Linked DNA regions of Drosophila melanogaster. The protein of the gene in region 2 interacts with the protein of the main gene of each other region in a pairwise test. Each region holds a gene or a part of one and is shown on either strand. Other genes may lie near its edges.

Region 1 (7,662 bases), on a different chromosome or scaffold from region 2:
AATGCTCTGCATTATTTGAGTTCCTTTAACATGTGCGCAAGTGAATAGGGTATTAATTGTCTAAGCAATTGGATCGATACGATCCACCCCAAATTATCCCTTGATAAAGTGAGTGGTTTTCATAAAAAAAAATCAAGGATAATGCAGGAAAATAATATGATAATCGGATCACTTGGAATCTACTCACTCGAATCGGAATTGGATGTAGCGCCGTTGTACATCGCCTCAGTTGAACAGCTGCAAAGATATTTTAATAGTATTACGTACAATTTTATATTATGTTTACAATAATATACCAAGTTAAGGGTCTTCAATCCAAAATGCAATCCAGTCCAATATTTTCTGAAAGTCAAATCAAATGTAAATTAGCAAACATAATTTTAGTTAGAAATAAATACATATTACTAAAATCCTACGTTCCAACTTTCAATATGCGCGAAACCGACTGAATTCCATTGGCAATCATTTCCAATATTCCAACCAATTCCAAACAACATGCTCACACACGCATACATGTACATACCCACTTGTAAACAGAGAAGCGGCTATTTTCAAAGTGTCAGCACAATTGGAAGATCGTAAACAAGAACGGAACTTGAGATTCAAGACACTTTCGTCTGGAAGTCAGAAAAAAGTTAAGTTACGACCAATAGTTCACATATAAATCTATTATACTTGAGTAAGAATAATAAATATTTGCTATTATTGGTCAACGGAACCGACTTTTTTTGCACAGCTAGAATGAAGAAGAGCAGGAAACTAATTCTTGCCTTCCAAATTAATCGATGTTTTAAGCTTTAAGATAAGCTCGATATCAACTTTTATCGGAATGGTCAGATCGGAATTTAAAAAAAAAAACTTTAATTTCTCCCCAACTCAAATTGAAACACACAAACAAATGAATGTACTTAAACCCTTTTTTTTTGCTAGCGAGTATGCGATCAAAACTAGAGAAACATATGTACGTTTTTTCCCTTATAATTGATGGCAATCTGGTCCCAATAAATCCTTCTCACCCATTTCGCGCCTGCTAATTGCCAAACAAAATGCAATAATTCAACCCAAAAGCACGCTTTCTTTTCCTAGCACAAATACAATACCCCTTTAACGGCCGCAATTTCCCTTTTTCACCCTTTTGTTTGCCAGGTCACCCGAAAAGTTTTACCGAGCAGGGTTGTCGCATGACCCCCCGCAACCCACAACCACAGCAGCAATCGCTTTTTATTCTCTTTTTATATGATTGTTTCATATTTATGAGGATTATATGGCTGATGCTGAGTGCTGAGAATCAGAGAAAAATTGAGTTGGACGTGTGGTAATTTATTTTTCGGCTAAGGGGACGGACTTGTAGTTAACTGTTAGTTTTCCGAGCTCAAGATCGCACAGATTATAAAGAATTTACTGTGCAATACTAATTAAATTTATCTTTATCATTATTTTACTTAAACGGAATTTGTATAAGCCAAAAAACAAAATTTATTAATAATCTCCAACTAAAAATGTGTATCAATGAAATTATTTTCTTATGGAATTAAATTTCAATAGTTTATGCCCGCCTTTGTATTTAACATCTAAACATTAGAATTAAATAAAGTATTTAAAAAAAAATTTAGCGTATAAAAAGCATGGATTGATTCCAAGTGCATTTTACGAATTTGCATTGAATCACGATAATAATATTCACTTGTAATACTTAATTAAATAATTTAATTCGGAACCCATATTAATTTACCGAGTTCGAGGCGGGTTGGCAGTCCGATTGCATGACGTAGCAACGCCGCCACTTTCCAGCACTGGCCGATTGCCAGCCAAAATGGCGCCCGCCTGCTATCGCATTGCTCGAGCAGATATCGGTTCGGCAGCGCATCACACACACAACGCGAAAAAAAAAAGAAAAATACGGGTGGCCTGCAAGCGAATATCTCCGAAATTCATTGAATCCCGACGCCGAGATTTGTGCTCCGATCCGAGAAACCCATTAGCTTCCGTGCACCGTCCGCCCAAGCCAGCAAAATAACCAAGTTCAACATACGCCTGGACAACATAATGTCGAAGAATAAAAAACTGTCGCTGTCGGGCGGCGATACGACGGAGAAATTTATTTACAAACCCAAGGATCTGATATGGTAAGCCGGGACCGTGGACTCATCAATATATTCGCTGTATTCTCAGCTGCGCTGCGCCGTGAAGAAACAAGAAAAAAAAAAAAACGAGAGATGAAAATCAAAGCAAACACCTAACCTCAATTGCGCACCGTTGGCGCTCGGAAAAAAAAATATGAAGAAAAAAAGAGCCAGTGAAGTGTGCATAAAAAAGCAATTAGCGCTGCCTTTTTGACAGCCACGCAGCGCAGTATCCATGTAGCTCCATCCGAATGACGACCATAATTCCGGAGCTACGTGCGTGGATTCCGGGCGCGCGACGTCGACTTCGCTGCGTTGGCGCTTTTTTCGCGCGCGCGCCCTTTTTTCTTGCTTTTCCTCCTTGCGGCCAATATGAGTTTTCCCTGTTCTGATAGCGCATTTTCTTTGCAGGGCCAAAATGAAGGGCTTCACTCCGTGGCCAGGAATGGTAAGCATTGCAGTTGGCGATCGGAATGTTTACGCCGCGTCGACGTCGCGTCGCTGCCGCCTTCTCTGCTGCCATGTTGTTGTGTTTGTTTTCGACTGTACTTTTCGATTCAACGCTGCCGGCTTCGCTGCCGCCGCTCTGCCCGCAGCCACGCACTTGCACACATTGCCCCATTGCCGTTGTGGTTGTTGTTGTTGCCGCTGTGCTGTTGTCGCTGCCGGCGGAGGAAATGGTCTCTTCCATGGAGCCGCTATCGGGGGCCACGAGCAGCAGCTTTTGATCGTGTGTACAGCCGCTGGAAAGCAGCATGTGCACTCGGAGGAGGGGGAGTGACGCGCGGCAGGCGTGGAGTTTGAACACAGACGTTGCCAAGGATATCAGTTCCCAGTTTCGTTATTCTATGCCGTTCAAAAGGAGTTTTGTTAATATATTAACTTTTATTTGACATTAACATTCTCATCGGTAATCTTGTGATATACCAATCGGTTCTTTAGAGTTTTGTGAAATGTGCTAATGATAGTGAATCACCTCAGCTAAGGTTTTATCAAATCAAATTGGTTTTGTGCAAGTTGCTAGAAAAATGAGGATATATTTTTAAATCCTTATAATTCCTAGCTCAAATGTAAAGTTAAAGAGTGGTTTTCGATTGAAATTGGAAGTGAAAAAGCAACATTTGCATATGTTTTGTTTCGTGCGTGATAAAGTCTTGTAAATGGGTTATCACAGAATAGATTAGTTCGAGGGAATTCATAGGCACATCCTTATAGAGTAAAATGCATTGTCTGCTTAAAATGTTTCTGAAGACTTTAAAGATATGATGTGGTGGAAGCTAATGTTGATTTCTCTCCTTAGATTGTCGATCCTCCACTTGATCTGCTCAGCCAGCAGCGTCGGGCGAATACCAAATGCGTGTTTTTCTTTGGATCTAGGAATTTGTAAGTAAAATGCACGCCAACCCCAAAAAGCGCCTGTAATAACATGGGTAATATTTAACAGTGCCTGGATTGAGGAGAACAACATCAAGCCCTTCGAAGGACCGTGGAAGGAGGAACTGGCCAAGGTGAGCAAGCCCGCTGCTTTCCGACACGCCATGACGGATATCGAAAAGTACATCGACGACCCCGCCGAGGTGGACGAGCAGGTGAACAAAAGCTGCGGTGCGCCGAATCACGCAACCGAGGCTGATTTTGACAAGATCCGGGATGGCCTGGACAGCGAGGAGATTGTGGGAGAGGAAGCAACTGCCGATGGCAACAATGGAGTGGTGGCCCATGTGGTGGGCAGCCCCGATGAGGGCGATGGCTTGGATGTGGAAATCAATGCAGATTCATCAGCGTCACCAGTCACGTCGCCGGCGGTCACAACGAAGGCAGCTGGCAAGCGGACGCCGAAAGCAAAGTCCGTGGCCGCTACATCGGTCAAGTCGACAAAGGGATCGGCAAAATCAGCACAGAAACGGCGTACCTCTGCCCAACAGTCGCCCAGTGGGCCATCGAATGCCAAGCGAGGCAAGCGTGATGTTTCCGGGGAGGCATTGCAGGACGCGGATGAAGCCAGCTCCACGCCCACTGGCAGACGTCGGGTCGAGACTGACGCACTCTTGGCCTCAATCGCTGCCAAGCGTGCACCGAATGCAATTGCTCTGCTTGACCGACCGGTTGTCACGCGGCCAGAGGCCCAAGTCATCGACATGAGCTCGCGCTCCAACACACTGGCCGATCGCGATATCGTGCCTTCAGAGCAGACCTTCGGCTTCCTGGGTCTTGGAATGATGGGATCCACCATAGTCAAGGATTTGATCTACACGGGTCACAAGGTTGTGGTCTGGAACCGCACCATTGACAAGGTAAAGTTTTACGATAGCAAGTTCACACATGAATCCTACAACAATCTCGTTTTGTAGTGCCAACCGTTTGCCGAAGCCGGCGCTGAGGTTAAGGACACTCCCATGGATGTTGTGGAAGCTGCCGACGTTATCTTTTGCTGTGTGTCCGATCCAAAGGGCGCCAAGGATGTAAGTCATAAAAGGTTTCATTTATATACATATTTAATTTGGGAAATGCCTAAAACACAACGTGGTTAACAAAACTTAAATTTTGGCCTTGGGGTTCCTATAAAATTCAAATGACTCATCCGCGCTTGTTAACTTAAAAAGTACATATGAATGAAAGCACGCAGTTTAAAATGACGATTTTCTGACGCTCTCTTTGCAAAGCGATCTTCCTTACACTGTATAAAATTAAAATATATTAGAATACAAAATAATTGTGCAACTGGGAGGGATGGCGTAATTTAACATTCTTCTTATTTATGCATTCGTTTTATTCGATGTTTAGCTCGTATTTGGCAACTGCGGCGTTCTGCAGTTGAAGGACTTGAACAATAAGGCCTACGTTGAAATGTCTACAATTGATCCGGACACATCGTTGGACATTGGCGAGGGCATCAAGCAGTGCAACGGTCGCTATCTTGAGGCACAAATTCACGGCTCTCGGCAGGAGGCTGCCGAAGGCATGCTCATCATTCTCGCCGGTGGAGATCGTTCAGTGTTCGAGGAGTGCCACTCGTGCTTCAAGACCATTGCCAAGAACACCTTCTTCTTGGGGAGTAAGTACAGCCTGCACTGCTGACCATTTCCTTTGAAACAATTTATTAAAATATGTCGTTTGTTCACATCTAGCAGATATCGGTAACGCCTGCAAAGTAAACCTAATTTTGCAAACCATCTTGGGAGTGAGTCTGGTCGGGTTGGCTGAGGCGTTAGCACTTGGTAGGTTTTATTGTATATTGTTAGCAGTAAGCAGCCTTAACTAATTGATCTTTTTTTTTATTGCTTTTGCAGCTGATCGGTTCTCGATCTCTCTGAACGACATCATAGACATTTTCGATTTGACTTCAATGAAATCACCCATGCTGCTGGCTAAGGGCAAAGGTATGGATAGCACCGTGGCTATTTCCTAGTGTTTATCTTATCCTATTTTGAATTCCTTTGCAGAAATGGCCAAGGGTGACTTCAATCCCCAGCAGCCTTTGAGCCACATGCAACGCGACTTGCGCTTGGTGTTAAACATGGCTGAGAACCTGGACCAGTCCATGCCCGTCACCAGCATCACCAACGAGGTGTTCAAGCACACCAAGCGCTTGGGCTACAGTGAACACGACTCGAGCGCCGTATTCGTAAGATCCAGATTTTAACATTTAGTTAACACGACTAACGTTTAAACTATGTTTTATCAATTAGTTTAAAGCGTACACCGAACAGAACGACAGAACCGACAAACGACTGACTTAAAAAAAAAAAACTAAACAGGACAGTAATAGAAACGCATAACCCTCACTTATTCACCCACCAATCCAAACTGACAGAGGCGTTCGTTCACAAGGAGTTCTCCTGCCCTTGTGATTGGCAGCGCCACCACCCCAACCTTCTGCATCTTCCCCAATCGCCCCATATGCAAAGCGTTTAATGCAATATGTCTACGATTCGCCGGGAATCGCAGAACCGTGTCGTCCTGCTTTCAACGCAGGAGCCACTGAAGAGCGCTTGGGTGAGTGTGTTCAACAGCTGGCGGATGAAGAGCACAATCTTTCCGGGATCACTTCAATCAAGTTTAGAGTTTTTTTGTATTTTATTCTTTGACGGGTGAAACGCAATCCCCAGAGAGGAGGGAGGAGGCCAGGGCGCCGTGTTTCCGATTTTATATGTGTAAGGTTTTGCTTTCCAAATATCATTTTTACGCATGTCCATACATAACTTGTAAGTGTATAGAATACTGCATCCGAATAAAATGTACAAAGCATACTTGTGAAAGACAACGCCGATTTTGAGAAACCGAGCGAAGTATGGAACCCTCCAATGTGTGTCGATCCAACCTCCCAGCCTCCCACTTTTTGTGCATTTACTCCAGTCCTAAAATTGTATACATTTAAAATCCCCTTTTTTTCTATGAGTAAATAGTAGGCTAATCGATCATACTGCGTAGAATGGCAAACATATTTGGAGTGACGGTAACGATAGATTGGTTTAGTTTTAGCCATCTCTCCCCATCATCTGTCACTGCAACAAACGAGACACAACCTAAAACGGAAAAAACGGTACAGAACGCACCACAACCGATACGCAAACGATACGAAAACGTAAACTACACAACAACCGGAAGAAAACAAAATAGAGTAAACTTTGATCGAACCCTTTGCGTGGGTCGCTATTAATAATAATAATAAGAATATATAATAAATAATATATTTTACTTATTATTTAGTCTGTATTTTGTTGTAAAACAAAGATTAATAAAAAGATAATTTTAATAGAGGATGTAAGGAAATTAAATTGAGTTCGCATTGCAATATTCACGTTTTGCTTGATATGGTTCATATATATTTTGGATAATACAGTATTAAAATGTAAGTGCAATTTAAACTTTATTTAAATTGACATACATTAAAGAAATGTGTGTTTTGGGAGAATTTCATAATATTAAAGTTATATACAACTTGGTTAACCTTTTCGATTAGTATGAAAGGTATATTTTTACTTATTTTGTATTGTTTTTTATTACCGTAAAGGAAATGGGAGGTTTTCTTCGCGACACAATTTTATTATTTGTATAATCATAAAATTAGTTAAGAAAATTCAATACCTTCTAAAAATATTGATTTCATATTTTTTTGTTGCTAAATGATCCTTTTAACCTATGAATATGAAACATTAAAATAATTCAAAAACAACTAGTTCCCATTTTTAGTGGTTCCAGCGATAGGAAATAATCGCTTCACGGAGTTGCTGGAAACATCGATAGCATCGCGTGAACATCGACTTTTGTTCCATCCCTATCGTGGATGTTTATGTGGTGCGTGTGTGGCAGAATTATTATCAAAATTATTGAAAGAATCAATTTTGAGCCCGCAGATCGTCACACTTGCTAGAAAATGTCGGAAAAGAAGCGAGCCCGTCGCCGCAAGGATGTAAGTGCTAACTGTTTCCAATTAGATCCTTCTAAAGGGGCTGCGCGTGTGTGGGTGCCACAGTCCAATTGACATGCCGAAAGTGTTTGTTTTTTGTTTTGATAAAAAAGGAGAAAAAAAACGTGT
Region 2 (3,725 bases):
CACCTCCAGTTCCTCGGCCCCCGCGAAGAAACGCAAGATGGGGATCATCTACATATCCAACATACCCAAGCATATGAACGTGACCCGCCTGCGGGAAATCTTGGGCGAGTACGGCGCCATCGGCAGAGTTTACCTACAGCCAGAGAAGCTGTCAAGTGAGTGGACCAAGTGGCATACATATAAGACCCACTGATTACCCACTAGTGTATATACTTTAATCTCAATTACTTTAGGTGCCAAAGCGAAGAAGAACAAGCGTAAGCGTTATAATATCCACTTCACCGAGGGCTGGGTGGAATTTAAGTCGAAACGTGTGGCCAAACAGATCGTTCCACTGCTGAACAACAAGCAGATATCCGGTCGCAAGACGTCCCAATTCTATGACTCGCTATGGAGCATGAAGTACCTGCCGCGCTTTAAGTGGGTCCATCTAACCGAGCGCATGAACTACGAGCAGGCGGTTCACAAGCAACGCCTACACACTGAGGTCTCGCAGGCCCGCAAGGAGACCACCTTCTTCCAGAACAATCTCGACAAGAGCGAGTTCATCAGGAAGCAGGCGAAGAAGGCCAAGAATGCGGAAAAGGCTCTGGCTGCCAAGAGCGACAGCGATGCCTGAGTTCGCGCTAGACTGTTGCATTCAATGTTTACCTGACTGCAAATATACTTATATTAAGTAGATCAAATAAAAATCTTTAAATAATTAGGCGCGCAAAATTATTTGAAATTAGGGCCCCTGCATATCGATAATTTCGTCGATTGTGTGTGCGTGTTAATGCTACTTCAGCTACTCAAGCTGAAGGAGGCCACTGTAACGCACAGGGATGGTTAAGATTTCTCGATTAAAATAGGGCTGAGTAAATCAAATGTTCTGTTACAAAGTGTTTTTAAAGCGATATGCTTTTCTAATGAAAGGGTACCAACACATCGATAGCTCTTCGATAAAAACGTCAACTGACATCGCCTGTCAACTGTCATACCTGATTGCGTACATTACAAAATATATTCGATCCAGCTAAAACGAAAGCTACAATGAAAAAAATAATTAATACATCAAAGCCAAAGCGCAAGTCCACTTCCATGAAAGTGGAGGAGACTAAGCTAGGCGAAGTGCGCTCGGGTAAGCCGCAGACAAAGGAAGGTGAGTCTGCAAATGGGGTAGCAAATCCCTCAAATGACGATAAAAAGGAGCTGGCCAATTTCAAAGCCACCTTCAATTCCTGGGCCCCCGAGAAGAAACGCGAGAAGATGCACAAGGTAGGCGTCATCTTAATATCCAACATACCCAAGGACATGGACGGGGACTGCCTGAAGGAAATCATGAACTTGCACAGCGTCGTCGGCAGAGTTTACGTGCAGCCGGAAACGCTGTCAAGTGAGTGGACCAAGTGGCATGCACAAATGACCCACTGATTACCCAGTATAAACTTTTATCTCAATTACTTTAGGTTTCAAGACAAAGAAGAACATGCGTAAGGGCTGGGTGGAGTTCATTTCGAAAAGTGGGGCCAAAAAAATCGCTCTAGAGCTGAACAATAAGCCTATAACCGATGGCAAGTCGTCCCGATTCCGTGGCTTGCTGTGGAAAATGAAGTTCCTGCCACGCTTCAAGTGGTACTATCTAACCGATCGCATGGACTACGAGCTGGCGGTTTGCAAAGTTCGCGTATGGTCGCAGGCCCGCAAGCGGGCCACCTTCTTGTACGATCCCGACCAGATGGAGTATTTCAAGAAGCAAGTGAAGAAGATGAAGAAGGTCAAGAAAGCGGAGATGGCTACCAGGAATGCGGAGATGGCTGCCAAGAAAGCGGAGATGGCTGCCAAGAAATTGAAGAAGTCTGCCTGAGTTCACGCTAGACCTTTGCTTCCAATGTCTACCTGACTGCAAATATACTTCAATTAAGTAAATCAAATCAAAATCTTTAAATAATTAGGCGCGCAAAATTATTTGAAATTAGGGCCCCTGCATATCGATAATTTCGCCGATTGTGTGTGCGTGTTAATGCTACTTCAGCTACTCAAGCTGAAGGAGGCCACTGTAACGCACAGGGATGGTTAAGATTTCTCGATTAAAATAGGGCTGAGTAAATCAAATGTTCTGTTACAAAGTGTTTTTAAAGCGATATGCTTTTCTAATGAAAGGGTACCAACACATCGATAGCTCTTCGATAAAAACGTCAACTGACATCGCCTGTCAACTGTCATACCTGATTGCGTACATTACAAAATATATTCGATCCAGCTAAAACGAAAGCTACAATGAAAAAAATAATTAATACATCAAAGCCAAAGCGCAAGTCCACTTCCATGAAAGTGGAGGAGACTAAGCTAGACGAGGCGCGCTGGGGTAAGCCGCAGACAAAGGAAGGTGAGTCTGCAAATGGGATAGCAAATCCCTCAAATGACGATAAAAAGGAGCTGGCCAATTTCAAAGCCACCTTCAATTCCTGGGCCCCCGAGAAGAAACGCGAGAAGATGCACAAGGTAGGCGTCATCTTAATATCCAACATACCCAAGGACATGGACGGGGACTGCCTGAAGGAAATCATGAACTTGCACAGCGTCGTCGGCAGAGTTTACGTGCAGCCGGAAACGCTGTCAAGTGAGTGGACCAAGTGGCATGCACAAATGACCCACTGATTACCCAGTATAAACTTTTATCTCAATTACTTTAGGTTTCAAGACAAAGAAGAACATGCGTAAGGGCTGGGTGGAGTTCATTTCGAAAAGTGGGGCCAAAAAAATCGCTCTAGAGCTGAACAATAAGCCTATAACCGATGGCAAGTCGTCCCGATTCCGTGGCTTGCTGTGGAAAATGAAGTTCCTGCCACGCTTCAAGTGGTACTATCTAACCGATCGCATGGACTACGAGCTGGCGGTTTGCAAAGTTCGCGTATGGTCGCAGGCCCGCAAGCGGGCCACCTTCTGGTACGATCCCGACCAGATGGAGTATTTCAAGAAGCAAGTGAAGAAGATGAAGAAGATGAAGAAGGTCAAGGAAGCGGAGATGGCTACCAGGAATGCGGAGATGGCTGCCAAGAAAGCGGAGATGGCTGCCAAGAAATTGAAGAAGTCTGCCTGAGTTCACGCTAGACCTTTGCTTCCAATGTCTACCTGACTGCAAATATACTTCAATAAAGTAAATCAAATCAAAATCTTTTAATATTTAGGCGCGCAAAATTATTTGAAATAAGCGCCCCTGCATTGCATATCGATAACTGCAAAACTTTCGAGTGCTGGTTTGTGTCAACACTATTTTTGGTATTTAAGTTCATGCAGGCGTTAGCACCTTTCCGTTGTCGGTATTTCTACCCGATAGCCGCGCGTTATCGATAACAGCCATCGACTGTCTCCATTTTCTTTGTCGCTTTGTTGCGCCCGTGTGGTATTTGAAAATTCTGTGATCACAAATCGACTAATTACGCAGAGAAAATGGTAAATTTAAAAGTAACAACTATATTATTCGAGTAGTTTACGGTGCGGGCTATTGGCGTTGCGTGAATTCGCCCACTTTTCATTGATAATTGTGGCCAATTCGGCGTTTTCATTTGCCGGGTGTGTGTGTGAACGAAGCGCAAGCCATTTTGACAGGCGGCTTGCACGTGAGCCATGGACTCCGATTTCGCCTGCCACTTCCAGAACCTTCTCCTGCTGTCCACGGGATCTGGGTGAATTGGAGCTATCACTAGATTGCTGGCCGGGATCGGCTCGGGCAGCTGGCTGAG

The links.
Region 1: the proteins of CG6999 (region 2) and Ndf interact in a two-hybrid assay, tested with the Drosophila melanogaster proteins (one large-scale study listed by BioGRID).

Annotation. Positions count from the first base shown.
Region 1 is NT_033779.5:10,002,001-10,009,662, forward strand, and holds Ndf (Nucleosome-destabilizing factor), read left to right. Parts: upstream 1-1,831; 5' UTR 1,832-2,046; coding exon 2,047-2,126; intron 2,127-2,309; exon of another isoform or gene 2,310-2,534; coding exon 2,535-2,571; exon of another isoform or gene 2,572-3,043; intron 3,044-3,423; coding exon 3,424-3,506; intron 3,507-3,567; coding exon 3,568-4,417; intron 4,418-4,474; coding exon 4,475-4,585; intron 4,586-4,907; coding exon 4,908-5,178; intron 5,179-5,251; coding exon 5,252-5,341; intron 5,342-5,413; coding exon 5,414-5,503; intron 5,504-5,566; coding exon 5,567-5,766; 3' UTR 5,767-6,889; downstream 6,890-7,662. UniProt on the Drosophila melanogaster protein: Nucleosome-destabilizing factor that is recruited to genes during transcriptional activation and colocalizes with a subset of trimethylated 'Lys-36' histone H3 (H3K36me3)-enriched regions. Binds DNA (in vitro).
Region 2 is NC_004354.4:9,086,164-9,089,888, forward strand, and holds CG6999 (uncharacterized protein), read left to right. Parts: upstream 1-2,203; 5' UTR 2,204-2,307; coding exon 2,308-2,602; intron 2,603-2,675; coding exon 2,676-3,082; 3' UTR 3,083-3,151; downstream 3,152-3,725. Other genes in the region: CG32708 (uncharacterized protein), read left to right, coding at 1-155, 234-619; CG32706 (uncharacterized protein), read left to right, coding at 1,081-1,375, 1,449-1,846; CCT2 (chaperonin containing TCP1 subunit 2), read left to right, coding at 3,433-3,435.